2 linked regions of the Drosophila melanogaster genome follow. The protein of the gene in region 2 purifies or fractionates together with the protein of the main gene of each other region. This does not show direct contact. Each region holds a gene or a part of one and is shown on either strand. Other genes may lie near its edges.

Region 1 (14,898 bases), about 16 Mb from region 2:
ACTTGCGTAGTGCAAAATGCAAACATCTGCTGCCCAGTGGCCCCCACCCGTGACCAAGTCGGAAAACTGCGAACTTGGGGGTTCAATGACCTGTGGCTCCTTTGACTGGATGCTAACGAGCACGTGAGGCAAGTGTACCGGAAAATGAGCTAATTTGTGCTGCGTTTCTTTTGGCCAACTCCACCGGCCACGTGTGGGCCCCCAGCTCCCCAGCGACCTCGGCGAAGAAAAAGTCAAGAAATTCAATTGCGAACATAAATCATGCCCGAGACGAACATGCAGGACATCAGACAGGATGAACACGCAATCAGCTGTTTGTCACAAAGCATATCGAGGATGTGTTCGAGTGAGTGACTCTGTGGGTGGGTCGGTGGCAGTTGGGGATCCCCACGTGAGCAGGAGGCATGTCAATCAAGCCACAAGCAGCCACGCGCACCCACAGCCTTGGCTGCACCACCACTACCATCCATCCACCCATTCAGTCGCTGGCATCCCAGGAGGCGGGATGTGAAGAGTAAGGACCCAAATCGGACCAGTCTCGAATCATGCTGTGGGTGTCAAGTTCAAGACGGGTAATAACGACATTGCTGTACCCTTAAAGTAAAAAGATTTGGAAGAGGAGAAGCATTATCTGAATATATATCATAATATATATTGAAAGGCTGATACATAAGTAGAACCTTATTGTTTCATTAAAACTACTGTTTGATACTAAAAGGGTATCCAAGGTGCGGATTCAGCGCGATCGATTTCATCGATGCCTCTTCATGGCATAGGCGATAATTTATTTAACAATGTGTGGCATGCGTTTTTCTCGGGTAGCCCGATCCGAAGCTTTTGTCCATTGAAATGTAAACGCTTTGGGATGTGTTATCCTGGCCAGCTGCGAGATGGCTGGCTGGCTGGCTGACTGACTGGCTGACTGGCTGGGAAGCATTTGGCCCGGGGGCTAGAACAAAGGAGAGAATCGTTTCTATCTGCCACAGCATTCACTCCTTTATTTGCCAAGTGCAAATTGCAAAATGATATTAGAGGGGTGGATTCACGGCTGCACCAAAGGGGGTTGGCCCCCTTTCCACGAAAAGTGGCAGGATGTCAGGATGGCAGGATGGCAGAATGGCAGGGTGAAAGTGGAATGTGGAAAGTGGAAAGTGCGTCCTGGTCCGGCACCAGCCAAGCCGAGCAGCTCGTCCGTAATGAGCACGAACAAAATTAATGTGATTTGTGTCGAAGGGTGCAACGACTGTATTATCGAAGTGGAATATACAGGATAATGCAGGATAATACTGGATGCCCAATAACGCTGGTATTGTGGCCGACAGCAGATTTCTATTTGCACTTGTAATTGGCGCGTTGGTCCGGGGAGCAATCTCCACAACTCGTAATCCCTAACACTCGCCCCCAGTTTTGTTGCACAGTCATCGAGTTTAATGAATAATTGAGCACACACAATCCCCAAAATAAATGTGAAAAATGTTTGATACGTGAAAATGCACGCATTTTATTGCTGTTTCTGACTGTGGTCCTCTTTTTATCAAATCAAATAAATTCGCCGTGTTTTATAAATAAATATTTTATCACTCGCATTTATCTTGAAATACGTACAAAGATACTATGTGGATACTATAATATGTGGAATTTTTATTGATTTTTCAATGGCTATTCTTTGGTTTAAAAGAATTTTTTACATTTTGTGCATTAAAAAAGACCAAGAACTAATTTATAATTATAATATATAAATTAAGAACAATGATTTGAAATTCATTTATGTGTTTTTCGTTGCACTTATCTTAAAAAAAATACTCTTGCCCATCACCACCATAGTCCATTTAATTCACAAAATGAGAATGATTAATACATTATTGAAGTGACCACAGCACTTGACCGCTACAACTTGTCCCAAACAAAATGCATTATAATGATTTATGGGCGTGGGTCCGTAGCCAAAAAATCAACCCTCCGGACAAATTAACATTAACAAGGATATATGATGATAATGATGCTTCTCGCCAAGGCAGAGCCACCCAAAAAACAAAGCCTGTCAAAGCCACAAAGAGACACTCGACCCACGCAGATGCCCCCGAGGTGTTTTCCCGACCAAGTTTAAACGAAAATTAAAACACCTACCCTCCCCATTCGATGGCCACGACCTTTCCGTCCCTTTTTCCTTCCTGAACTTGAAGCTAATCAAAAATGTTGCACAAAAGAGCGTAAGAAAAGGAGAGGAAATAAAACTTGAGCTTCGGTTACAACGAACTCATTGTACACTGCACTTTGTATTTTGATTTCATTCCAAATTTAAATTTAATTCACTAGTTACTATCTACAAAAATGATGTATCAAAATAACATTTAAAACAATACTATTTATATTTATTAATACATTTAAGATTTAAATTTTAGAATTAAAGTAAATATTGCAAGTGTAGGATCATATACATAATTTTAAATACCCATATATCTAAATATGTTCCAAACTATCCTCAACTTTTATTTCGTTAAAATTACTATGCCTTCTGAGATACATATCATTAATAATTCTGTATATTTGTACATTTATCTTGCTGAACAAAAAACTAGTGCCACCCGAAGGAAATCAGAAATCGACAATCTTTTTTTTTTTTAAACGAAAGTGCAAAAAATGTTTAAGCAGTTTTTTTTCAGCAAGGCCAACAACCAGCGAAAGAAAGTATAAAAAATGTTTCTGAACTTGGATGGATACTTTTGGGTTGTCCTGGCAAGTCAGCGAACATTGTCGCCATGATTAGCATTTTATCAGCAGATCCTTTGGCTCATCATGCCGTGTCTCGTGACAAGCACTTGGCCATATTTATGGTAATTTAGTTTTGGCTGAGCTGCGGCAACAGCTGGCAATGTTTTAAGGAATGTGACGCCCCACAAAAAATGGGAGTGGGAAAAACCCATGGCTCACTCCCTTGAAGTGAACTGGTAAGCAAGTAGTACTTGCCACATGAGGAAGCTGCGTGTCACATAATCAAAACTGAGGCAGGCTCAACCTGCAGGGTGCTCTTTATGTTTTTATGTGCGGAGCCCATTAATTTATTGCCGGAGACATTGAGACACCTCCAGCCGAACAAAAGGCGACATTATTATTTCATTATTATGCCAAACGCATCAGGATGCCCCACTCCCGATCTTCTTCCCCCAAAATGCACGTGGGCAGGCTCGAATTACATACGGTGGGGAGCCATCCTCGGTGGAGGCTTTTCCAACGTGGCAGATGATTCATGCGATGGCAAATTTTCTGACGCCCGCCACATAAATAAAACAGGCTGCCCGGGGAGCTCAGACATACATATACATACGTATGTTTGGATAGTCCCCGGGTCAAAGGGCCCAGTTCAGAGGCTGTAATATTCACTCGTAAATATTTTTATAGGCACTAAGACTTCCGCATCGGATGAACAAAGCGCGAAGAGTCCACACGGCCAGGTGCTCTGCGGAATTAAATAAATATTTGCCACGAACGGGCAACCTTTCTAGCGTTATTTGGGAAATTGTGGAAAAATCACGAGCCACATAACTCCTGCAACGCTTTCGCCATGAAACATTTTATTAATTAAGTCCGTGTCCTTGATTTTTATTTGCCGTTTGGTATACCCACTTTGTGTCAACACAAACCTCTGTCATCATCAGGATGCTCTTTAAATGTCGCAAATTCTAACAATGCAAGTTGACCGTGTCCTTCAAAGGATTTCAATTGCAGACCAGATTTTCAAAGACTTAAGACAGCTAAATTGTAACTCAACTTCACCTCCTGTCAGCCAATTCCTTTTTACCAATCCCTTGTTAATAATTATGTTAGCTAACATCAACATTCTAAACTAAAAACCAAACCAATATGACCGATTGACTGCTTATTTTTCCGTTCCCAATTTGTTCACTACATTTCCAATTTGCCAAAATCAACAGGGTTAAATCCAATCCGGCGGTAGCAGCCACAAACAACCCACCTTTGCGAAGAAATTTCGACTCCTGCTGCTAATCCTTTCGTGCGTGCGCGTGTGAGTAAACCATTTAGCGCCAATTAAAACATAATTGCGGCATTCGCGGATTGCGATCGGGCACTAAATCATTCTCGGGCCTATACGAGTTTCATTTTGGCAGGACGAGAATAGCGGCACACACACACACATACACACACACACACGTCCATCGAGGCACCGCAACAAATGGCAAAAAGCGCGGGCGGAAAAGCGAAAACACTTGGGCGCCATTCACGGTTTAATGGCATCAATTCAATCCGAGGCTGAGCTCACTTTAATCTTGTGGCACTGCTGGCGTTGATTAAAAACACAAGGAAGCCGAAGTCGCCGCTTCTGGCCAACATTTCACTTTTATGAACGTAATTCCGACGGCTGATTTAGGCCGGAAGTCTGGAGCACGGAAACCACCCGCTATGTCAACCACACTTCGCCGGCTAAGAGCACTAACTGCCATTCCTGCGAGCTTCAACTTCTTTTGGGGACTTCATCCCCGGAGTGTCGGCTTTCGATCAGCTGATTGGGGGTAGAAGCACCGGAAGTGCCGGAAACGGGGATGAAAAGTATTCGAAATTGGCGGGCATTCAAAACTGTCGAACATAGTTACTTCCTGTATAAATACAAAATACTCAATAAATTCAAAATACTCAATAAATGCAAAATACTCAATGCAAAACAGTTACAGTTTACATTATATAGAAATATAGAAAAAAAAATGATTGATAGTGCCAACTACCTACTACTGCCACTGCCAAACCTGCCAATCTTTTCTTGTCGTATATTATTTTGAATGATTATCAACAGATTAAATCACAATTAATAATTCACAATTAAATCGTGAAATTTAGTTTACTGGCTCTACGATTTAAGGATTCGTCACGATAGTTTCGCAGTCTCAACCAATTCCATCTCTAAAATTTGTATTGATGAAATTCCAGAGTTGCAGATATATTTTGGCATGCCCCGAACGGTCACACTGCGCGTCGCACACTTTTAATTGTTTCGCTTCGCCTTTCGTTGTTTGTCGTATTCTCCGAATTAATCAAAATGCCAGCGGTTGTGCGAATCAAGCGACGCATCGACGAGGAGCCTCAGACGGCATTTGTGCTAAACGGCAAGCGGCGGCGCCTCCACAACGATGAGAACGCCCTGGAGGACGCGGGAGCGGTGGCGGGAGCGGTGGCGGGAGCGGTGGCATCAGACAAAGACGAACTGACCACCGTGCTCAAGTTTGCCGGCACGCTGGAAAAGCAGGTGGGATTGGGGGCTTAGAGAAGCAAACGTAGATATAATTCACATGCCCTTGGTGGCCACTACTTTCTATATATTGCTGTGGCTCGAATGCACGCTGTTGGTTCTTTTAGTGCTGCTTATAAAAAGGTCAACGTCCTCATCTTTGAGATGCAAAACGATATGGGCTAGCAAACTCTGCAAAAATGCACTCATTGAACTGATTTGTTTTTTCTTTAATGATTCTTACAAATAGCTAATCTAAGGTAACACATATATGTGTGCAATTTTAATAATACTTATCAGTTAGTAGTGATCTTTAACCTTAGTTAAAGGTGCTGGCCTGTTATCTGTAAAGTGAATGCACATTTATCATAGCAAATTCCCATTTTACAGCCGCAATAAATAGTGGGAACTTAATAAAAGATAGCTCTAGTTTGGTTATTGGTAATTTTGACTAATGATCCAAAGATCTAATGAATCTAAAATTGATTTATTAATTTGTATGCCTCTTTCGCAGGACGACTGTGCCACTCGTAAATTCGCCGCTGCCAGGCTCAACAAGGCCGCAGCCCGTGATCTGGTGCAACAGCAGCGCTCCAATGATGCAGCCATTGCTAGTGCGCTGCGCAGAGATCGCCAGCGGCAGGAGGCTCAGGAGAACTCAAGGGAGCAGCGTTTCCGGGTCGTAAACTGCCTGCGCAGCACGCTCGAAAACAGTGCCGCAGAAGCGGAATGCCCGGAGAGCCAGAGTCATGAGTCCAGCAGCCACATAACCATCGTGGACATTGAATCGCAACAGCAACAGCACATGGGCACTGCAAGTGCAGCAGCTGAGGAGCAGCAGCAGCAGGAGATAGCACCCAGCCAGGATCAGCAGCAGCCGGCCGATTCGGACGTGGGCTATGTCTACGATCTATATGTTCCCGAGAACGAGATGCAGGCGGCATATGTGGACATGATGGACGACAACTACTTAAGGTTTGTCATTCAAGTTGAGCCACAGAAAACGTTGAGCATTACCAATTACTATATGTAATCGATCACCACTACACTTATGTACTATATGGAATATATATATCTAAGCGGTGTGTCTGTGTGTCGGTGCTATGGGCGTATCTGTGTGGGTGTGGGTGTGCGTGTGTCTGTGTTCGTTGTCCTCGGGCGCAGTCTCATACTTGCATATTATCCTTATCATCTAGACACGATTGCAATCACTACAGCTCAATAATACGATTCGTTCGTTCTCCATAAGGTTGTATTATCCGTTTAATTACTACAACAACTGCTACTGGTAAACAAGAAATAAACTAAATGGAGAGAGACAGACAAAGTCGCAGGCACTTAGGAAGTGTGAGGACAGGAGACACCCAATGCCCCACCCACGACAATAAAAAAAAGGACTGCAACTGGCAACTCACATCACTTACAGTTCATTGCAGTCAGCACATTTGACAAATGCCCAAAACTAACGATAAAACATTGTTTTTATGAGTAAACACGGCATGATCTGAAAACGAATGATTCTGGAAGCTATTTATTTGATTTGTTACTGTGAGATTTCGTTCAATTCTAACACAACTATGTTATGCCATATTCCATTTAAAAAATATGTTAGATCTAAACTTCTTAGTTTAAATAATGTATCATAGTTATGTAAAGTTCCCATAAAGTTCCCTCTTGCCAAAGTTTTTAATAAAAATAAGATGTATCCTGCTAAAAACGCACAATTAGTGTACTATTTGGAATCGTTTTAGGCAAATGTCTCTCATTACCTTATGTTCATAGAATTAATTAGCTATTAGATTAGAATAATTTACCCCCACACACGAACACACACACACCGCATTTTTTTGAAAAACAGCTCACCGAGCATTTTTCGTTTAGTTTCCGCCAGTTGTCAGTTGCCTTTTTGGTTCTTTTTCCATTCCGACAATAAACAAAAAAAAACGGATAACACTAGTGCTGAAGTCTAATTAAGTGCATAGTCTTAGTTTGTTTTGCTTTATATCTGTTGGGGCCTAGCGTTGCCCGAAATCGAATATAAACTAAATAAAGAAACTCTCAAAATACGTGACAAACTTTGTTGTGTTTCAATTTAAAAATGCTGCGTGATCAAAGAATCGAAATAAACTCACTAATTGTTTCGCCTATTCTGCAGTGTGATTCCTGTGGGCGAGATTGTCCTAGAAGATTGCTACAACGACCAGGACGAGGACTACGACTCGGAGGACTCGAACCAGGAGAACTACTTTACCAATGATTACCCGGACGACGACGAAGCGGGCGCCATGGGTTCGGATGATGAGTTGTGCCGGCAAATGAACAAGTTTATGCTCGGTAAGATCTGTGTTAACTGTTTGCATAGATTCCGCTTATGAATATGCATATGCTTCTTCTTCCAGATGATGACGAGGATGAGTTTGCCAGCACCAGCGATGATGATGACTATGCCACCTTTCGCGATCCCTACGTGCACACGATCGACACTGAGGAAGACTCGTTTGTGGACGACGTGGACTTTTACAATGTCGACCGGGAGAGGGGCAGCGCCTATGAGCGCTACAAGCGAAGGATTCTGAAGGAACTGGAGGGTCAGGAAGAAGAGGATGAGGATGATGATGATGATGACGACTCCTTTGCGAGCGCTGATGGCGAATGAGAGGTTGGAAAGCCAATTCATTCTTGCACCTTAAATTACTGGCTTTAAAAAAGAATGTAGTAGTATAATTTAGCGTTTAATAACTAAAAAATTTAAGTTAATATAAAAATTCTGTTTGCATGCTTTGCTATGTTTAAGCTAACCTTATCTTATCATCTATAATTTTTGCTGTCTTTCTTCTCAGTCTTGATGTGCTGAAGTTGAGGTTTCGGCGCACAGCCCTCCATGTAAAGGCGAAGGGTTTCCTCGTCCATCTTCTCGTTTTCCTTGGGAGGCTTGTAGTCGGCCACGTGATCGACCCTTAGTGTCCTATCGAGGATCTTGATGCCATTCAGGTTGTCCACGGCCAGCACTGTGGATCTCTGGTCCTCGTAGCACAGGAAGCAGAAGCCCTGGACAAGTTTAAACAATGATTTCAGGAACTTTCTTGAAAGGGTAACTAAGCATTACCTTGGACTTTCCCGTTTTTGAATCTCGAATTAGATTGATGTTGACCACTTCGCCGTACTGCGAGAATACGCAAACCAAGTCGCCCTCAGTTAGGGTATACGGAAATCCTGCGACGAAAATCCAGGCTGAGTCCTTGTACATGTCGTGCCAGCTCTTCTTTCCGCCATGTTGCAGTTCGTGTTCGCTCAGTTTGAGCACATTTTTCATATTTGTTAGCGGATTCATCTTCAAATCGTTTTATTTGTTTATGTTTTTGTGGCGATGTGACTGCTTGCTGTTAGGTAGAAAATACCATCGGTCTGTTTTGAACTGTATTAACATAGCAAGCAAGCAGTGTAGGTAGTATTTCAGGCAATATATCGATAATTGGATACTTTCTTTAACTCATAGAGTTTCCTAAAACTAAAAGGCTAATATAATTAATATGTAGCATACTTATTTAATTTCCAACTAATTTAAATACCAAAGTAGTTTTTAATTGCTAGGTATTTGTATTTGGTATTTCTTGTATGTGCAGTGGTATTAAATAGTGCGTTATAATAAGGCCGGTGGTATTTTAATCGTTATCGTCACATTTGTTGTCGCGTTGTAAAAGGCTGCGGATCGGAAGCCAGTTAATTGTGCACTGGGACGGACAGTGAGAAATGTTGTAATATTGCCATTGCCACGGTGATCTATTCGAGAAAAGGTGTGTACGAATGCGAAAATTGGGCTTACACACCCGCCGTCTGCTAGCGTACGTGTGTGTGTGTGCGGTATGCCCTTGCGTGTGCGTGTGTCTGCATGCTCGTGTGCGTGCCAAAGGAAAAAGATATGCTGAAAAGTATCTCCTCTCTATTTAAAAATGTGTGTCAGTGTATTGTGCGGCAGCAACGAAAATAATAAATAATAGCTGCCGCGACTGCGACTGCTGATTGGTGAGGGAGAGGAAGAGATGAAAACATAAACGAATAACCGTTTGGCGTCTTTGAGGTCTTTTAATTGTGCCAAAGCCATTGTTTTACCATTTTCCCATCATCGTTCGAGACGCGTTCTGTGCCGAATAACAGCGAATAACGCCCCGTCTTTTCTGTTATTTTTTTTCGCTCTCCCATATTATTTTTTGCGAAGGAAGCTGAGTGTGTGTTTCCCTCTCTGTCTCGCGCACGTAACTATGCCTGCGCCTTGCTATTGGAACAGTTGGTATGTAAAAGACATAAGTGCGATATGTCCGTTTCACACTAGACTTTGTCACCCTGTGGCAGCCACACTCACACACACACTCTCACCTGGGACAACTCCACCATATGTCCATTCGTCTGTGTGTCTGTCTGTCTGTCTGTCTGCTGCTGCTTTTCCTTAACACATTCACACTCACATGCACATTCCACCCCATTGGCAATGCCTCTCTTTCGTACAGCTGCAGTCAAAATAATAGTAATGGGCCTCCGGTATCTGCCGTCTTTATGGAGTCCTTGGTAAGCGAGGAAGAGGAAGAGCGGACAAAAGCATTCCTCCAAAGCTGCCGTCTTTTGTCCTGCAACTTCAACCCCAAAAACCCAGATAAGGAAACGTGCATTTTGAAACCCTATAACTATAAATAGAGTTCCTCACTTGACCGTGACTAGAACTTGGTTTATGTTGTTCACTTTGAAACTTTTGTATTTCTTATATGCTCCTATTCTGGAATTTAATAGTAATAGCTATAGAGCAACTCATGCCAGCTGCTGTCATTTGACTCATCGCAATCAACCCTTTGGGATAACTACATTCCTTAACCTTTTGTTTTCAATCCTCGGGTATTACGCACAGCAAGACTTAAATTGTGAGAAACACTAAACGCTAATTAAGTCACATAAAGTGTAGTTTACAAGCCATTGACCTAAAACCTAAGATTACACATGATCTTAAAAAAATCTCAACACGACTTTAAAGAGTTGACCCCCGCTGTATGGTCGCTTGTGTCTCTTTGTTTTTGTCCACGCCGAAAGGAGGAAACATGTACTTCCATCGCTGGTTTTTAATGTTTAGGTGTGGTCGTGCTTTACTTGCGGGCTTACACACATCCAGTTGTGTGTGTTTCTTCAAGCGGAAGCGCTCGTAAAAAAGTTTTCGTGGCGCTGCCCACACAGTTGACATTGAACTCGCTCCGTCCGGCTGCTCCTGCTTCTCCAGCTCCTCGTGCCCCAAAACCAACCTACCCCACCCACTCTGCCAAGCAACTGATACTTTTGGTCCGCTCTGTTACTTTCCCAAAAAGCCAACTCCTGGCCTTTCACTTGCTTTCCTTCATACCCTTCTGCGAGTAAAGCCAAGAGTTTTGTGAAAGGAGCGAAGTGTGCGATTAACGAAAAGGTGTTAAGGAGGCGGAAAAATCAATTAACAAATACTATTTGGCGTAGACTGATTGTTAATTGATAGGTGGTACTTCATTTCACTTTTCTACTCTACTGAGCTGCAGTGTGTAAACTTTAGTTGCGTTCGTAGAGACCCTGAATTATAGTTGATTTATGTTCTTCATAGTTCTATAATGAATATAATTAAAGCTGTCTAAATATTATCTGAACTATCTTCATATGTACCTTCCTAGTTCTCGTTCATTCCCAATGGGTATTTATGCGAAGTGATGTGTGATGTGGAAAATGGCTTAAAAAGAGAACCCATTGCCTATCCCTCCGCATCAGCAAACTTCTCCCCACTGTTCTATGAGAACATTTTGGGCGCATGTTGACTCATTTTGGCCGTTAAATGCGGGGGCTGGGTGCGGGCAGCTTTCTCGCTATTATTACGAGATACGTACAGATATGTGCTACTATACTTTATGTACATATGTACACTCGTGTGGGGCTCCTACTGCGGTTATTATGTGGCTCACGTCTCTGGGAAAGATTCGCGCCGCGACTGCGCACGATTATGGCACATTTCGAGTGACGAGAGCAAAGTTGACTGCGCTGCGGCCGCCTGTTGCAGAAACGTGTCAAGTTGGCCAGATACATCTACTCTACGTCTATATACACGAACATACATACATATATATGTATTATATACAGGGGTACTATATGTGCAGCAGCATAACCAAGCGAGCAAGCTGCTTCCCCGCCAGCTCCCGATTTCGAGTTCGATTAATTTCGTTGCGCCTCGGTAGCTGTGCACTCAACTCAAACATCCGCTCAAACGGACGGCTAGCTCACACCGCTTCCAATGGGGAACGTTTACCTCGCCGGCGACCAGCTCATTACACCACTGCCCACAGATGCGGCAGATTCCCATACCCAATCCCGCCAGCAAAACCCTTTCCCATCCGGGAAGGGAGTACCCTTCAACCGGGTGACACCAAACATCTGGGCGTACTGGGGGGCTACACTGGGCTGCAACGCCTTGGTTCCTGGACTACTTACTTTTGCACTAGTACCACAGAAGGAATTTCGCATTCCCCTCTTCAGGCAGCGTAGGGATAAGAATTACACTGGCTTGCACAGTATTGCTACCGAGAACTAACTAACATTTGGAGTTCGGTCCAGTTCATGCAAGACTTTTCATACCTATGGATTACTAATAGTACTAAATTGCAGCCGTTATCACTGATTACTGATTACCAACCACTGTTTTGCTGGCCAATGTAAACAGTCTACAATAGCAGGCACAAAAAAAACATTGCAGCGAAACTGCCAACAGAAAATTCGCTGTTCTACACATTTCGCCCTGTGTCTTATTGCTGTTTACACCTGTTCGAGCCGACGCCGTCGCGTTTTATATTCGCATTTTGTTTTTGTTTACATTCATGTAAAGAATTCTTCATAAACGCTCCATATTTGGCGACTGACATGCCCCCAGCCTCGCCAACTATCTCGTGGTTATTGAAGTGCAAGCAGGGGGAAATGCCGAACCCACACGGCGTATAAGAATTTTTGGGTTGGCGGCTCTTGCGGCTGTTGTTGTGATGGCCGCTGATGTTGTGTTTCATATGCGTATCAAATAATTGAGCTCAATTGATTTCAATTAAAACTGACAAGTCGCTGGGGGCTTTGTTGTTGTTGCTGCTGCTGTTATGGTTGTTAGTGCCAAGTCATATGAAACAAAAACCATCAAAATGCCTCAAAAGTAGTGCCCTCTGTTTGCCCGATGAGCTGCGTCGAATGTGAAATGCGCTAAGAATTCGTTCTATTCAATACGTTTGAAAGAAGAGTTACATTATAGGAAATCATAGCCCAAGAGTGTCGAAGGCAAATAAATATAGATGCTCTATCTTTTATTGACATTTACTGTGCATATATTGAGTTCGATGATTTCATAGTTTAAATATAGATTACGAAATGTGTTCAATAACCGATTCCTCAGTTTAATTTGCATGATCTCCGATCACTGGAAACATGAATGCTGTAAATGATTTACCTTAGTTTTTGATAAGTTTTTAAGTTTTTTAAGCATTTAATCCAAGCCTCAGATAAGAAGAAAGTCCCCTTTCGTTCTGACTCATCATCAGTGAGACAGAATAATTTTTATCAACCTATAATTCATCCATGAATCACCTGCACAAATCCAGTGAATGGAATGTTGCCTTATTTGAATATTTATAGCTCGAATAGTTTTAATTGAACATGTGTAATTTATCATTTCTAATTACCACTTTTGTGCAGTATAGAACAAAAGGCGAAGTAGCAAATTTGGAAAGCAAACGCTTGAATTTATTGCATTGTATTTAGTGCACAATGAATTGAAATAGAATAGTATATGCAGAATAAAGTTTAAGTTTTGCGGTATCTTCTTTTATTCTCTATTTTTAGAGAAACCAAACCTTAAACAATTTGTACGGATCGCCTCTTTCAGGAATAGAACTTTAAGAATAGCACTTCGAAATACCAAATTCCTCTGAAGGATTCCGCAGTCGAGCGGAGATCAACCCCCTAGCTCATATGCCCGGCGATGGGTAGAGTAAACGATTGTCTATTAATACGAACAAGTTTCGAATGGAGGGGGGGAGGGTTATATTTTGTGTATGTTTTCGCATTTGTTTATGAATTTCAACGCTTGTGCCAATTGCCCCCGTTCGCTGTGGCCGTTTGTCTTATTGAAATTCAACACTTTATTTAACAATTCATATGCACGGCCACTCGGGTCGGTCGCGCTCGCATAGAAATGAATAATAATTAAATTATATTGCCACTGCCCGTTTGCGTCTGACGTTTGCTTCTAAATATTTGGCCATTGCGCTTTCTTCCAGCAGCTGCTTCGCATATTTGTTAATGCGATTTTTATTGTACGATTTTATTTTGCTTGTTTATTTTCAAAACTTTTCGTATGCCGGCGCCACGAGCCTAAGACAACCTGAAAGAAAAAATTTGGATATTGCCGGCCGCGTGTGTGTTTGGCTTTGTCTACGTATAGCAGCTATATATCTACATATGTACATATATATATATTTCGTTGATGCGCGCAAAACTTTCACTTCCATTAAAAATATAAAGTCTGGTCTCGCCGATAGTCGTCGGAGTGTGAGTCCGTGGGTTTATGTGTACCTGTTTTTCGACGTCGCTAAATGACACTAGGCTAGGTTTTATGGTTCGCTGACGGAGATGAGTTGGTTTTGGGCCAGGCCAGGCGAAATTCTGCACAAATGTCAAAGTAGAAAATTTACATGGCCAGCGGAATTGAGCGATTTCGCTTTTCTTTTCTGCCCTGTGCTTTCCCATTTTTTTTCTTCATATCAGATGAACGCTTTTAATGCCCTAACAATGGCACTTTAATGACTTTGGAAATTCGCTGCTGGTACATTTCGGAATTATGCAATCGCCACATAATAGAGTCGGAATCATTTCGGAATGGGACTGAAACCAATTGGGAAATGTATAAGATTTACTTTGAACTATTTAAGAATCAGATAAAGCGTAATAAAATGCACTTTGCTTACTGGATATGTTCATGTAATATGTAATATTAGCGCATTCAAACTTCTTGAACCAGGCAAACCATTTCCATTTCCATTTCCCTAACTTGCAACTTGGCATTTGTGTTTGCCACAGTCCATAATTGTGTGAACGGAAGTCGAGAGCTCGACAATTATGGGGGCCATGGGAGTGGAGTGTAAAGTTTGGTCCGTTGCCCAGGTAAAATTAGTAAAACGGACTTGGGCAGTCCGAAGCACGAGCGTTGACTAATGTGGCGGTTAGACTAATTGCAATTCCCACATGGCGGACTTGCTTTTTTATTTCTATATTATGAGTCAGTCAGTCAGCTGTGGGGGGACAGTGGGGTTGTGTGCCATTGATTTGGGAGCAGACGACCCCACAAAGGGCTCCCCATTCGTAAACAAATCCGACATGTGAGTCAGCCAGGCGGGCCAAACCGATCAGATTTCCAAGAGCACAAGTGCCACTGGCTGTCAACTGGGGCGTAGATTGATACCGCTCTGCTCAACAGATTAACGGCATATAGCAACCGGATCAGCCTTGGGCTGCAATTTGTTCATGCTGCATGGTTTATAGGAGCACTGGCTGACTGGCTGACTATCTGGCATCAATTGGCCAGTCTAATGACTTCATGTTGGCCCATTAGTCACTCGGTCCAAATCTATGTG
Region 2 (16,851 bases):
GATCATCGTAGCTGCGGGGAATCTTCGTGAAGCACTTGTTCAGGCTCAGATTGTGGCGAATGGAGTTCTGCCAGCCCCGCTTGTTGGCCTTGAAGTAGGGGAATCTATTGATCAGATACTGATAGATGCCATTCAAAGTCAACCGCTGCTCGGGACTATCCTGGATGGCCATCATGATGAGGGCGTTGTAGCTGTATGGCGGTTTCTTGGTATCGCTGCCGGCGGTCATTTTCTGTTTCTTGCTGGGATTGCCATCCTCGCTCTCCTGGTCCTCGTCCAGCTGATCCTCCAGCTCATCGTCGAACTCCACGTCGAGCTTGTCATTGTTTTGCGACGATAGACTCTCGGCGGCACTGCTCATGGGTGTGCTGGTCCTGCTGGGGCTGTCGAAATCCTCCGAAGCCGAGAGTTCGCCATCGGAATTGGAGTACGGATGAACGTACTGATGATGATGATGCACCGGTTCGGTTTTGATGGGTTGAGTTGCGGTGTTGATGGGTTTCTTGGCCAAGATGGCATCGATGGAGAAGTTGCTCTTGAATTCCATTTCACTTTTCACCATTTTTCTGATTCGGATATCTTTAGATTTTTGTTTTCTTTGGTTTCTGATTCTCACACACGACTTGGGATCGCTTGAGATGTTTGCTCTTGAGATGCTAGCTCTAAGCTGATTCTCTACAGCCCCGGATCGGGCTATTTATAGTCCAACCCCCGGTCGCTCGAACGAAGTCTACACGAAGAGAGCCCACAGGCCGAAAGAGACGGGTAGCTAATGCGCACAGGGAGTGCGAAAGGGATGGGCATCAGGTAGTTGGGCAGTTAAACCCTCTTCACAAGACTCCGCCCTCCATTTTGTGACCATTTTGTTCCACTCGCCTTCCACACGAAACTATATGTTGGCTATATGTTTGTAGACGTTGTTTGGGAACTTGTGGATGTTTATTTGCAGTCTTTTGCTGCTTCGGCGTCAAAATATCCATTACATCCAATCCAAACAGGGTCGGTATTTTGGGGTTGCTCTCAGTGCGTCTCGCTTCCGCTCGCTGTTTTGACTATTAATTGCACTAACAAGCGGCAATAAAAACAAAAACACCAATTTCGGGCAGTTGCAATTTAATCAGGATGTTTATAATTCGAGTTCGATGATTTTTGATTGGGATCCGAGAGTAATTTACAAATTGGGCCATTTCTAATCACTTCAATGGGGATGACATTTACACTTTGTCAGATATTAGAGTGTTCTGGCAATGACCTAATTTCAGTCATAATTAACTCAAAGATATTAAATATGCTTTTATAGATATAAGTAAAGATATTTACAATGTTCTAGAATATTGGATTGGTGCTTTGATCCACTTATCATATGACATTGAATTCTGCGAACCACTGCACTAGCGATCTGCGACACAGACTCCTCGAGTTGCTCCTAATCCCGCCCAAACTAGTTCAAGGGTCGCTTTTGTGGTCCGGGGATTATCTGAGGCAGATCCTGCCTTGGCTTACGGCACGATTTTCAACAGCTCAATGGAGCTCAGGACGCAGAACGCAGGACTCAGGTAATCCGAAGGGGTTAAACCTCCGAGCACCGGGATTTGTTCTAGTTTCGCGACAGATTTGCGAATTAGTTCTGGGCGCGCTTCGCCAGAATCAATGTGGATCTCTGGCAATCCTTTTGGAGATTAATAGATTTGGAAAATTATAAGCATGGACTCTGGCAAATATTTGTGCTCAGTGTTGGCTGGCAGTGGAATTTAAAATTGGTTGCACGAAAGTTAAGTCATATTTTGGTGATTTTGTGTGTGTGTGTTTAAGATTTTAAGATAGCTTAAATTTGAATGAATATCAATTTGTTCTATGATAAAGAATGCGATAATACTTGTAGGCTAAGGTTTTTTAATACTTGAAGACACTTTTAGGAAATTAGGAGATGATTGCAGTGCCGTGGATCTCAAGGACACATGCAACTCACATGGACAAACATCCTTTGGGATCAAACGAAGTCTCGCCGACTCTACTTTGCTACCGAAATGGACTTTGAAGTCCGGACTTTTCGTTTGCGAGTGGGTTGGCAATGGACCGAGACTGGACCCCGGCTACAAAAACACGAATGTACAAGTGGTTTTTGTGTCCATAGTGTTTTATGTTTTTATGGCATGTTTTGTTAGAACAATTGAACAAATATACAGGCAGATAAATCGGGCGAAAGTCAAGTAGACACAATGAAGACGTCAGCGCTGTGGGTTATTACAGATGGATGGATGGATGAATGAATGGATGGGGGCGAATACTTGTCGGCGGCACTGTGCGTTTGATATCTTAGACAACTTGACAAAACAATCAAAGCAGCAACAACACATGTTCCAAATGACTGTCTATTAATTTGCTCCCTTCTCATATTTTATTTTTTGCCCAAAACCAAAAAATAAAAAATAAGTGAACAAAACAATGGAGGAGTTGGGAAGAAAAAAGTAGGCAGCGCACTTTTAACGCAGTAGTCCAATTGCCGATGATAATGATGCACTCAGAGAAGTCGGCAAAGTTAAAAGTGCCCGAAAGAGACGGCAATCGAGCGATAGAGAAAGAAAGGTATAGGCAGTCGAAAAAAGTAGGCGGTTAACAATTGCCGAGGCGGCAGGTTCAGTTACTATTCTTTCTTCTGCAGAGCGTTTCTTTCTTTTCTAAGCGAGGGATAAATGAAGATTTGAACGCCTCGATTTTCCTTTTGCGGCTTCCCTTTTTCTCTCTTTTTATTCTTTTGCTCTGGGCCACTAATTGAGTTGGAAATTTGTGTAGTTTTTTTTTTGCAAGTCGGACTTACAGATGAAAGGCATTTCGCCGACTTCGACTTTGACTTTTCCCTGGCGAGTGCATAATTTTGACAACCGCGACAAAACTAATTGATTTGTGAAATCCCTAATCCCTTCAAAAAGTCCACACATCCTGGACACACACATTGCGGAAAATTTATGCACACTGCATAGAGTAATGGGTAATTCGATTATCAACTGCAAGGTGTGCCTATGCAGTTTTTTAGGCATAAAAAAATATGAAAAGATGAAGACAATTATAAAAACAGATGAAGATATTTAATCTATGTTATAGTTTCTGGTCGTAAGACCTTTGAAAATTATATATCCCTTCCTGACTTTTCGTTTGACTTTAATGTGTTTTTTTGCCGGGAGGACGTCGTGGTAAAACGAATTGATTAGCGATTCGAGATCCTTGAGGGCACACCTTGAGCATAATCGAGCGTGGATCAGACCGAGAGCATGTGGCCGCTGATTGGGTGATCAGGACGCGATCAGGACCACGCTGTTTGACATTATGGTTTCATTGCCAAAACCACACTTAGGCGTTTCCTTGGCGAGCTTCACGCTTCGAGGCAACGCTACGCCTGCCTCATTAGCTCACAAAAACGTAGGGAAACTATAGAAAACTATGGAAAACTATGGAAAACTATGGAGATGCATAAGCGAATTCCAAGTAGACACCGTGGCCACAGACAATGTGCATGTAATTTTCAATTAACGCCACAAGATTTCCCTCCTTCAGGACTTTCGCCCGTTTTCGTTCCACTGTGGGTGAGCATTCAGTCTCATAATTGATCGTAATGTGCGATATTCCTTTTGAGGAACCTCGCTGTCAACAGGACTCGCTGCGAGTCCTATCCTCAACGATCCGATCCTCGGAGACTGTCACATGGCTGCGACATCAGCAGGATATCTTCGGCATTTGTCGCGCACAGCGAGTCGTCTTTTCGCCCTCATCCTCATCCTCGCACTTTGCCTTTCAGTCATTGTCCTGTCGACAGGATATTCAGCATGTACTGGATTTTATGGTCCCAACAATGGCCATGATCGATCTATCGTTGCACACCCGATGAAAAAAATGTGCAGTGATTTTTTATGCATCCGAAACGCTGAGTTCTGTCACTAATCAGGTCCTTTCACTCGGGCATTTCTGCATAAGGCTCAGTTTATTGATAAGTCCGGTGTCAATCCCAGATTTTGAATGAATCCTGCTACTTGGCTTAGGTACAAAACCGGACTTAAGTTTACTACTATATTGCCTTTACGATCTGGTTTCACTTTTACTGCTGCCAAATCTGCACTTCAGGTAGTGGGGGTAAATCTTTATTGGCATCCAGGTAAGAGAAATATGAAAATCTATATATGTAAAACATTGAATGAGCATCTCGAAAGCGTTTCCCCTGAAAGACTTCAAACATAAATATGCTTGTCAGAACTAATATTTCCAGCGATTAAGATCCCCGCTCTCAAGAGCCACCACCTCCAATGTTCTCCTCTTCAAAGGCATCTAAATTTTATTTTATTTCCTAACCATATGTGTGTCAAAGTTCCACTTAAGTAGAGTCGCCTCCCCCATATGGAAGCAGCTGGAGATCGTAAGCAACCGCCTTTGACAACTTTATAGCCTAACGAGCCGAAAGGATCTCCAAGCGTACAGTCAACACCCACTATAATTGATCAGTTCCACACCGAGGCACATAAAAAAAAAATATTTCGCATCCTTCGGGCGCGACTGCGACTTATTGATTAAGTTGTCCATGCGGTTGGCATCGGGATTGCCAGACAGGATGCATAAAAACCTGGAAGGATCTCGTCGGCTAGAGTTGATCGAATTATAAAGGGCAACTGGTTGCCATCCACCATTTGTCTTCATTCTTTCCCATTGCAGCTTGCAGCAGCCAGAACCGAATTGATTCGTCACGCAGATTTCGATACATTAAATGCAATCATTTGACAACAGGACGAAAATATTTTCATCCATTGTGTCCTAACAACTAGCATACGATGCTAGGCTGTGTGTGTGCGCTAGATGCCATGGTATACACCACCACACATGATACATCAGTATCCGAGTGCTATCCTTTGCAGGTTTCCACACCAATGGGACTCCCCCCCAAAGCGTAGCAAATGCGTGATGAGGATGCCCTATAGAGGATATCTCAGGGTTTAGACCCTCCATACCTTCACCATATCTCTCCCTTTCTGGGCGTGTGAAATCGGGAAACAACGCCTGGGAGCTGGCGATAATTGCTCGTTAGTAGCTGCACCATGTCCACGTCGGATTTCAATTCGCAGTCTGTCCTCCGCTTGGATTAGGTTGTCAGGATCTGGGGATGACTGTACAAGGCGATCAATGGATTTTGGGGAAATTGATTTTAGCAAATATATGTAAAGAATATCTTTATATTAAATTTAAATTATATTTATTTTATAATCCACATAATATTGCTCCCAATGAATAAATGCTTTTCAATTATATGTATCTTGTATCTACTTCTTTTACGAATTCGTAGATCAATCTCCCAGCTAGCTCCCTTCACTCTTCTTCGATCAAGTATAAATCTGTAGACCTATTTTAGGACCTCATTACCAGCTTATACAGTTTTGTATGATCCAATTCCATTGTTTATTCACAGTTTGGTTGACACCTTTGAGGAATTTCTCACCTTCACGATAATAAAATATTATCCCGCTGATCTCGGCACTGATCTTCCCATATCGATTACAATATCCTTTTGCGCATAGCAAGTTCCACGAAAACGCATTGAACCGATTGTGCCAAATGTGACAACATAATCCACATAAAGTAGCCAAAAGGAGCCGATCTCGATGATCCTTTGATCTATATCGCCTTATCATCGTCGCCGTGATTTTCGTCTAATCTTGTGATTCTTGTGTGACAACATAATCAAGGCGAGATCGGCAGAGATCAGAGTGGCCGCATATATCCTTTGATGAGCGGGAGTAGCGTACCACGACAAAAAAGGACACTCATTGTTCGAAACGTGCCGAAAGGTGGAAATAAGATGTCACCTGAAAAATGCAAGGAGCTGCCGCCCATGGACGAAATAAAAGAAATTCGGAAACCGACTTTGATGTCATTGTTTTAGGTACATTTTATCACATTGTCATTGCGGGTAGACCAAAAATATACCAAAAAGAAACAGCCGCCGCCGCTGCTGCCAACAAATGTCTCAATTATTTCTTATTTTCGGCCTTTGGCTTTGACTTTAATTCTGTTCGACCGACTTTGGGCCACGCCTTTTGGAAAATATACCCTCGATTGGGAATGCACCGCAGCGGGAGTCCTTGATTTATGCCTCGGCGATCCTTGATCCTCGATCCTGCGGACTGTGGACTGTGGACGCAATCAAAGGAGAAATTCAAACAATATATAATCACCACAAATGATCGCAGCGCGTGCAGAATGTTTGAGGAATCGTTAGTACCGCCCCAACCCCTACGATCCAAATCCAGTAAACCAGAAACACAATTAAGAAGTCAGAAAAGCAGACGCTCCGCTAAGCGGATTCGGCCTTTAATAGTCTTAAAAATCGATTCCTTTTTGAGCCTTATTGAAATGAGCAGCAGACGGCTCATTGTGTTTTGGCCTGGACGTGTTAACATAGCAATTAACTTTTACAAGGGCTGCTAAGGAGCAGGAATTTATGTTCGATTTATGCAGCAACAGGATATGAAAGGACCAAAAACAAGATCGAACAGCTGGCAAATTTTTGATGACCAATGGTTGAGAAGGATCTCGAGATGATCGGTTTATGGACAGTTCGGAATGTGCCTCGAATTCAGGTGTGAAGATCAAAATGGCAGTTGAAAATTTTAAAAAAAGAAAATAACACCTTGAGAAATGAGAATACCACATTAAAGATATGATTAATGTATTCTTTCTGGATTATTAATAAAATTTCGTTTTACTTTATCATCTCACTGCTAGCTTTTGTATTCCTCGACAAACACAAGATGTAATTTATTTAACACTTGGCTATTTACCCGATCGAATTTCCCACTTCCAATTAAACGACTTCCTTCCGTGGCCACGTGAAAGTGTGTCAGCTCCATTCATGGCTCACATCTCCACACTGCGGAACAACTTCCCCAAGTTATGGCCACAAAAAACGAGTCAGATCACACCTCTTTGACATAATGACAAGATGGGAAAATGCGTTTGGTCTTTTGCCGCCACGTCAAATCGATGACACTTTCTCATTAACACAAACAGGCGCAGGCGGTCAAAATTCGCTGACATTTCTAGGCGCCTGCCTAACTTCGAGCTAATGTCTTTTGAATCGGGGAAATCCGATACAGCAGTGGAAAATATGCAGAGTACACCGGAAAAAAAAGTATATGGCTAACTGACTCAAGTACTAGTTGAAATCAATCAATATAATGGGTATTGCATACTGCATACCATAAAATCATCTACCTTATTCCATTAGATATATATAGTTTTCTTTCAGTGCAGCCAGGATTGGGGACAAGAAACACATGCGGCAAGTGAAGTGTTTAGGCGTGGACGTGGCAACATCGCGTACGGAAAAGGAAACAAAAAGTAGGAGGTGCCGCCGATGTGTTCGAAAGTCGGTTAATTACAAAAAAGAATCGAAACATCTACACACACATTCAAAATGAAAGGGCAGACACGCACTTGAGCACTTGACTGACTCACTCAAATTTCATGCGGCAAGGAGTCGAGCGAGGCAAGTCGCAGATGAACGTGCAACATCAAAGGCCGCCAGCGACTTGTATGTTTTCATTGCTTCAAATTGGAAAATGTCTTCGCATCGAAAATATTTGGTTATCATTGGGTAAATATGTGAGGAGCAACAAGGAGAATGGTTAGAAATAGAATGCAGTGAGTCCAGAAGGAGGAAGTTGGGAACATGCTACAGTAAATACAGGGTATAATTGGTCCTTGCACTTGGAAAAACTCCTATGTCAAAATTTCATCTTTAATTTTAAAGTATATTTCCACGTGCATCCTTTAGAATTCGTCGCAGTGCTAGGATTTTCACAATTGACACAAGTCAAAGGTGTTTTTTGCCTAAAGGACCAGCCCAAAACTCAGGTGCTGTTTTGATTTTGGAAAGCGTCTTGCCGTTCCGCTTTTGTCCTCTTAGCCCGCTGGCAAATTCCTTGGACGGCAGCGGAGATCGGAAGGTTAGTGTTAAATGCCGGCGATTTGCACCAGCGGTGCACCGGAGGTGGCACCAGGAATCGGAATTGGAAATCGGGAATAGGAATGGGAATGCGAATGGGAATCCAGAGCCAGGGGGGTATCCACGCGGCAGGATGCGCCTGCCTGCGTGATGATGAGCCTCGAGTAAGGATGCCGGAATAAAGGACTCGAACGGCACCCGCTGACATTGACATCCCGACGACAGCAAGCAGGCCAAACTCAGCTGCTGCTGCTGCTGCTGCTGCTGGTCCTCGTATCTCGTGTTTCCTTCAGTTTGCCCGAGAAACGTCCTTGGACCGGCCGAGGTATGTCCTTGGCCCGTAGAACGATATGTGGCCAAAGTAAATGGCATATTTTGGCCTCTCCTGGTTAACCGTACGCAGTATTGCTTGAAACTTTGGGATCTAACGCAAAACTGTGGCCATACATTGACCTTCGACTGGAGTCCTTCGAGGATCCTGTCGCGTTATTTGGTCACAGTCACAGTCACGATATGTTAGCAAATCTCAAGTTTGGTGTTTGTAATTTTTGGTTTTTTTGCTTGCCACTACAAGGTCGAACTGAGGGAAGTTGGCCTCGATTAAAGTGGTATTTTGGTTTGGGCGTTGATTTTGAGCATGGCCCTGTATGGTAAATACATAAATATATAAATTCAATATATAGTTGAAAAGTAACTGGGTCAATGACTTCCAGTTTGGGACAAATATCGATGCATGTGCTGAAATATCCTGAAGATCTTCAATCACATCCCTTTGCGAGTCCTGAAAAATCTGCACTTTCGCTAACAAAAAACCAGCTCATTTCGGTATTTCGATTTTTATTTCTCTGATATTTTTCACGGCTCAGTGGCCTTCGAAACAATCAAACTAATGGGACACCGCAAAAACATAAAGGCAGAAAATGTGATGTGTGTATAAACCTCTTGTGTTGGTCAAATTCATTTCCACTTGATTACGTGCAAAGCTCAAATCTGTTGCGGAAATCATTTAAACGGAATTAATGCTCGAACAAAACATGTGAAAACTATCGCTCACCACTCGATTCAAATGCATTTGGGCGAGGCGGGGAAGCATTTCGATTCAAGTAAATATATGTATATATATTTCCTTTTGATTTTGGATTCGAAATTTCCTGGTATTCGTGGCGCACAAATGTCGGAATATCGAGTTTGGCAAAAAAAGGTAGAGTAGGGCGTGTGCAAGCCTAGCGGGTAGCACATGAGTCGATTCCTTGAATAAAAAGTATTTGCAAGAAGGGGAAATATATTTGCAAACTCCAATAAAGCGGGAGATTTCAGTAATTAGTTCGCTGGTTGTTTTCCAAAACACCTGTCTGCTCTTAAAGAAAAAACTTTAGCAAACCTTTGAAGGCTCTAAAATGAATTAGATATTAATCCTGAACACTAGAGGCGCCAAGAATAATAATATTTGTGCTTCTCTTAGTATCACTATGTAATCAATTAAAAAAGTTGTCTGTCTTTTACTTCATAATGCCTCATTATCTCGTACAAAATGTCCTTTTTACGAGGGGTTACGGAAATCAGATTGCTATCGCCACTTGTATGTCGCCGCATCGCACTTAACGAGGAGCTAAAAACTCGGATTCGGGGTAAAAAAAAAAAATGGCACGAGACAAGAAAGCCCCCATGCCCCGCTAACATGTGCTGGAAAACTATAGGGAAAACCTCCTTTTGGCAGGACACGAACGGAGATACAAGTAAAAAACTGCCAGAGAACACAGCACGTGACAATTGCGTCAACAGATTTTTCGCTGAGATGAGCACAAAATTGTTAGCAACAAAAAACGTGAGCTAAGAATGGGAATGCGACAGGAAACAGGGGCGTTGGAGCCAGGGGGGAGGGGGAGCTGCAGGGGGGGTTGGATTTCCCAACACCCGACCAAAAACAAAATATCAAAACCCTGCTGTTGTTGTTTTTGTCGTCTGTAGTTGTTGCTATTGACAATATTTATGCAGCAGCAGCACCAACAGCAATATGGAAAAACGGGGGGCAGAAAGTGGGTGGTGGTTTGCTGAATATTGTGGGGAATTTTCAGACCCCAAGGGCAAAATTGTGGTGCTTGTCATTCCACTGTTTGTTTTTGCATTTTACTACATTTTACAGCTTTTGTTTTATAATTTGCACCCGCAAGGCGACAAACTGCAGGGGGTAATAAAAAAAAAAAGGCAGTAAAAAAGTAAAAAAAAAGTATGGTTGAAATAATTTGTTTGAACTAGGAAATATCTTCTTTAAACTAATTTCGTGGGCAAAAGTTCTGAAATCTCAAACAATTTGTGATTAAATTTAATCTACTTATTTTATTGAACATTTTATGAACAAAATTTTACTTCAAAAGCAAGCATTTTTAGAGTTCAGTTAATGCGATGAGATTTTGGAGAACCCTATATACCCTTCATGTTCCAGGGTGTCTGAAGCTCTCTTCAGTGATCGAACCGCTCTTGATGAGGCTCCTTTCCGCTTCCTTTTTGCAGCAGAGCAGCACAAACTCGAGTCTGCGGTAGGTTTGGTCCTCCTCTTGGTCCGCGGTCCTCCGAGCCGGTTCCGTGTGGTTGTTGCAAGGTGGTTGTGCTACAGCTACACTTGTTTGGTTGTTTCCGTGGATGGGGTTTCGGTTATTTCCGATGGGCGAACGGCGAGGAGGGTCCATGGCACCGCAGTACGTGACGAAGAACAAAAGAAGGCACTTGGGCACTTGCATGTTTCCTGCCTCTAGTCGCGCTGGATGGTGGAGGTCCTTACGCTTGTGCCGTGTTTTTTTTTTTTTTTTTTGTCCAGAAACTTACTTGCCGCTGCTTTTGTTGTATCCACAAAAAAGCACGCTTATGATAATAATGGCATTATGTATTGTATACCACGTAATAATGTACAAAATGTTGACAGCCGCAGTCTTTTTGCGACACAAACTTCTCTAACGAACTGAAGGCAAAGTTGTAGGAAAAATCAAGTGGAAATATTCTTTTAGTTTCGAAAAGCTTTCGAAAGTAAAGAATTAAATATATTTTATAACTTTGTACCCTGATGACAGACATTTGTATGCTTTATATACTCAATTTGTGGTGTAGCTAGTGCATCTTTTCAAAATTTTGTTCCCAGAATCCAACCATAACAATCGTGTTTACCCAGGCAGGTTAATACTTTTACTATTTCGCCAAAAGAAAATATTGACTTTTCATATTTGCGAAAAATATTTGAAAGGCACAAAAAAAAGATTCCTATTTATTTTTGTACAAAATTTATGAAAACGATAAACCAAAAACAAACAAAAATTGCTTGGTAGCCCGCAAAATAAACACACAGCAAATAAACCAAAGAGGCAGAGTCAGGTAGGATTGTATCTGCATCTAACTACATATATGGTATGGGTTATAGGATGGAATAGATCAAGGGCTCTGGTGGGCAGCTGGTGGGCGTTGCTAATGTGTGAGCCAAAAAGCAAACAATTTGCATTCCCAAACTAATGAAAAAACAATATTTATATGGCACACAATAATACTACAATTGAAAGAGTAAAGAGTGGGCAAAAAATACAAATCTTTGAAGATTTGGAAGAAGATCTTTAAGAAAATATACAATAAAATCACAATTTCAAAATATTTGAATATTTATGAAAAAATTCTCCAATTGCCCTATTAAAATTCTAAAATTATTCCTTCTTCTTTCTTACAAACCCTCAACAGATATTAAGTTAAATGATAAGCTGTCGCCATATTGAAAACCTCTAAATTAATGTCTCCCTCTGGGAATTTCCCCCATTGCTCCACAAACCAACCAATTGGTTGGAACATAAAGTTCAACAACAAACAGAGCCATAAACATTCCCATTACAAATTAACACTTCATATATATTCCACATTCTGAAGTGGCACATAATCCCAGTCGTTTCCCCCACTTTCCCCCCGAAAGTCGACGGAACTGTTTCAATCTCCATATGGCCGCAAACAGGAAGCTAATCCTGCTCAGTGATATATCAACATATTTATGGTAAACGGATCAGAGGGCTTAGGCCAGCAAATTGGAGTGAAGAGGGGAACTGGGGGAGCATCCATATGTTACCCTCTGGTATTTTTAGGCTCGACTTCAAGTGGCAACTAACCGCAGAAACTCCATAAAATTTTATGAACACTCTTTCGGCGATTTTATGTGACGAGCGACGGCTGCTTAGCACTTCGATCGCCCATGGTCTATTAATGTTTAATAAACAATTATTAGACAATCAACGAATTTTTCGTGGCTCTGAAGCTTTTTGATCTTCATCACATCCAGTGACTCACCAAGAATGGGTGTACAAATAAATACCAAAACGACTGTGTTTAGATCAAATCGGATAATTACGCACACGAATTCTCATGAATCATAACAATAACAATGGAATCCCTTGAGGAATCCGTCAGGAACACCTCTTAGCGGAGGCGATTGACACGTCACGAGTGGGAGAAACTTTCTGAGTCGAGAACAAATGCACTTTGATGTTTCACGAACTGCAATTCGAGGTATTCACCATAAGACATAACAAACACTTCGATATGTTTGGAAATTAAAAACTTGCGGTAACTAGAAAATCGGTGTTAATTGGTTATTAGCTTGCCAAGTGTTTTAGCTAAAATACTGACAAACATGGAACAAATTCAAAATGAAGTACCAGCGATTTCAAGACAAACTAAATGAAAATGAAAATAAAGTTTAAATAAACTACAAATGTATATCTAATACTAATATATTTAAATTTGTTAAGTACCAAAACCAATTAAATAAAAATCTTACACTTTTAAAATGATACGACAGGAGTTTAAATCTCCGCGGGTTTCCGCCACAGCACCAAAGCAGTTTACTGCTTGCTTTTGAGCACTGCTCTCCTTGCAACAACAATCATTTGTGTCCCTTTACAGCACTGTTCGGCTCACAGACATCGATAAGTTATCGGTCTATAATCGCTACAAAACGTAAACATCTGTTTTTTCGCTTTTAATGAATTTAAGAAAAACTTTAGGAAAATGGAGCGCAAGGAAGTGGACACCCAGCAGTTCATCGACCATGTAAGTGGAATGCGACCATATTTCGCGTGAAAACCCGCGCACTAACCAATTCCCAACCAACTTGCAGACGCTGCTGGCGAACCACTTCATCATGGATCTGATAGATCAGACCTACAAATCCGAAGGACCCACGAATCTGAGCACGAATCCCAGTTCCGGCAACTCCGAGAGCGGAGTGGGTTACGTGGAAAAGGAATCGCTGACGCCGGAGCTGAATTTCCACAACACCATCTTTCAGTTTGTGAACAAATCATCGCCAGAAAATGATGTTGTACCCCACCAGGTGGATGCGCAGCCCACATTTCCGGCCCTGGCCATTGAGCCCACAGTGCCCATCGACGTGTCCACAGGTCTACACGAGGACGAGGATCTCCTCTATGCGCACAACAACGCCTCCTGCACGAACGCCCGCAAGGTGCTGCCCCACAAGAAACGCATTTCGCGGAAGCTCAAAGGCAACATAGACCCCGAACTGGACCACCAGCACAAGCATGTCCAGGATGTGGCACCCTCTTCCCTGTATAGCTGTGAAATATGCGGCTATGCTGTGCACACCCAATTGGACTTCTTTGCCCATCTGAAGCAGCACTACGAGCCCACCGTTCTGGAGCAGCGCCTGGTCGTCCAGGATCCCCAGCAACAGCACCAGCAAAAGGAACCCCTCGACATGTGTGGTTTGTCTGCGCAGGATAAGGTTAGTTGGGATTTCAAGCCTAAAGCTTAAAGTTAAAGACTCATTTCTTATATCGCACAGCTGCAACAGGAGCAGGCCAAATTGGATCAGGTTTTTCAGGACGTGCAGCTTAATTTTGAGAACTTTCACAACATCAGTCACCATGTGAACGATGTTGCCAACGTCGGAGTGAATATGGTGCTGCATGGACAAGCCACGGACAAATTAAATGCCGTGGTGGTTAACACCAGCAGCACTCCGAATTCTGTACCCGTGGTGGATGACGTCGAGTTCAGCGATACGGAAGACATGCTCGAGGGTATCCGCAATGTGGTGGACAAGGTTTCAATAGAAGACACCTGCGATGAACTGGTGGATCTTGAATTGACCTCCAGCGGAATGACGGCACCCTGGTTTAATAACAACTTCAGGGATATCACATTTCCGGCTCTTCTGCTGCCAGGAGAGCCGCCACCAGCTTCTTCAGAGCCAGCTACTCCACTGCTTAAAGAGAATCCCCATGTAGGCGACCACATGGCACTCGATTTTCTTAGTCCCGAGAAGGCGGACCCTCAAGAGGAAGCAAAACTGGAGAAAACACTGTCTAAAGCCTGCGAGCCCAATGAGCAAACCTTGTTAGTTGCACCACCTGCCTGCCAAACACCACCGATTCCAACTGTTCCACCAGCCAACTCATCCATTGAGCAGCTGCGCAGATCTCCCCTAGAACTAAGTGAAGCCTTCAAGTTGGAAGAGGATGACATGACCGATAGCCGACCAGCTTCGTCGTTCGAGGAAGGCGATCCCGATGCTGAAGAGCCAAATGAATGTTTTCAGATGGAGGTTTTGGATACGAGTTTAACCGAGGAGGCAGAGAACAAGACAAGGAGGAAACATTTCTGCGACAAGTGCAATCGCGATTTCAACTCGTACAATGCCCTCAAGTACCATCAGTATACGCACAATCAGGAGAGATCTCACAAATGCGACAGCTGCGAGAGATCCTTCTACACGCAGAGTGCGCTAAAGGCTCACGAAAGGACACGTAAGTGATTACCTAGAATCTTTCGCACATAAACCCCTAATCCTTGATGCTCCTATCCTCCATAGATTCCGGCGTGAAACCCTTTAAATGCGACAAGTGCGAGTTTCAGTTTCGGCAGTGGGGTGACCTGAAGTACCACATCATCTCGCGGCACAGCGACGTCAAGGCGCACATGTGCGAATTTTGCGGAAAGAGTTTTTCCCGGCGCTACTCCCTGGTTGTCCACAGAAGAATCCACACCAGGGAGAAGAACTACGCCTGCCAGTATTGTGACAAGACCTTCCGGGCCAGCTCCTACCTGCTCAGTCATATTAAAGTGCACACGGGCGAGCGGCCGTACGAGTGTTCCATCTGTGAAAAGAAATTTCGAGTCTCAGGCGATCTCAAGCGACATTCAAGGATTCACGATCCCAGCAGAACAAGCCAACCGCCTGCGGAAAAAGCTAAAAAGAAGAGGGCAGCCGCGAGCAATAAGCAATTGCCAATCGAAGAGGATGACGAGTTGGCCACCAATATCCAAAACAATAAGTCTGACGCCATGCGCGACCAAACTGGACAGAAAATCCTGGGCTTATAGCCATGCTGTGCCAAGGTTTCTTCAAAGTAGTATAAGTCTAAGTCTATTGTACGCACTTTTGTACAAGTTCTGTAAATAACTGAGATCGTATTAAGTATTTATGGAGAAAGAAAATCACGTGTAAGAGAGCTTCAAGTTTAAGAAAATTCCACTTTAAAGTCAACTCTTGAATAAATCTGTACATTTCTTAAGCAATTTGGCACAGAGCATTTTCTTTTTTTTTTTGCTGTCCCCAACAATTTCCTTGTGATATCTGCAAAATAAATTTGTAAACTAGTACATTTTCTATTGCAGAGCATTTCTTTATTATTTTCCATGTTTTCGTCTTGTCATCTTCATTTCATTCGTTTTTTTTTTCTCAAATGTTTTTGTTTTTCACACATCTGTCTCTCTCTTTTTGCACTTGTACCGTTCGTCGACTTAATTGTTAATGAGTAAGTATATATATTGTTATTAATAATGTAACTATGTACAACACAAGTGTTTGGGCGCCTGTCAGCGGGCCCAAAACGCAATGAAATCTTTGTATTCTTTGTTTACAACATAATTGGTTTCTTCGCTTTTTTTTTTCGTCGTTTTTGTTTTGTTTCTCAAAAATATTCAACATAAACGCCCCGCAGCCATACATTCCATAGATTTGTGTGTGCTTTCCGTATTTGTTAGCCATTCTATTCTCTCACTGTAACTTCCTTTCGCTTTCGCTTCAGAGCTTATAAACTAAAATCCTAGTATTGGCTGATTCACCAGCTTCCTATCTTTTCCACGCTTTAATGTACGCTCAGTCCATGATATCCTCCGATTCTCCCATTTGTTACACATATATAATATAATTCATCTGTCTCATCCTCGCTTGCATTTTGTTTAATTAATTAAAAATTACGAAAACTGCATTCCTAGTATCAGTATCATATCTGCACTTCGCATCTCCCAGCCTGATCCTAACTCCTCCAGCTTCGATTCCCCGCTATTATTACATACATAGATTCTTGGTGTCTTGGTGGTGTGGATTATGCTTGTCTTGGTAGGTTGAGTGTATCGAGTGTCTCCTGTGTTGATTGTGGGGTGTGTGAAACGTTTTTAGTGGGCATGAGATGGTCGGTTGGTTATTATTGAAAATTAGCATACGAAACACTGCGATTCCATTGACTGACTACTCTTCGATTCGAGTTAACTGAAATTTTAGCCTGCCTTTCGTTAGTAAATATGATTTAAAATTAGCATTACATTGAATATTTCGCTCTGACTTGCATCATCATTGTTTGCTTTTACATATATATGGTACTTAAAAAAGTATGTTTCGTTTACTTTTGCTTTGCTATGGTTGCACACGTTACTGGTTTTTTTTTTAGTTCTTAGTTTTTGCATTTCATTTGGTTTTCCTTGAATTGAATATGGGTTTAACTTGCTGTGATCTCTTTTGTTTCTTTCGTTAGATTCTTCATATACGCGACAAAGAAGGGTAGTAATTATGCTTTACTAATACACATATGAGCTTGCAA

Evidence for each region.
Region 1: the proteins of CG3407 (region 2) and CG10466 purify together in Drosophila melanogaster (affinity purification with mass spectrometry, with the first as the bait; one large-scale study listed by BioGRID). This does not show direct contact.

Annotation. Positions count from the first base shown.
Region 1 is NT_033779.5:19,785,899-19,800,796, reverse strand, and holds CG10466 (uncharacterized protein), read right to left. Parts: upstream 8,694-14,898; 5' UTR 8,571-8,693; coding exon 8,346-8,570; intron 8,288-8,345; coding exon 8,048-8,287; 3' UTR 8,015-8,047; downstream 1-8,014. Other genes in the region: fs(2)ltoPP43 (female sterile (2) ltoPP43), read left to right, coding at 5,051-5,257, 5,754-6,214, 7,395-7,573, 7,639-7,895.
Region 2 is NT_033779.5:3,809,495-3,826,345, reverse strand, and holds CG3407 (uncharacterized protein), read left to right. Parts: upstream 1-12,935; 5' UTR 12,936-13,015; coding exon 13,016-13,057; intron 13,058-13,124; coding exon 13,125-13,751; intron 13,752-13,811; coding exon 13,812-14,775; intron 14,776-14,840; coding exon 14,841-15,352; 3' UTR 15,353-15,545; downstream 15,546-16,851. Other genes in the region: slp1 (sloppy paired 1), read right to left, coding at 1-562.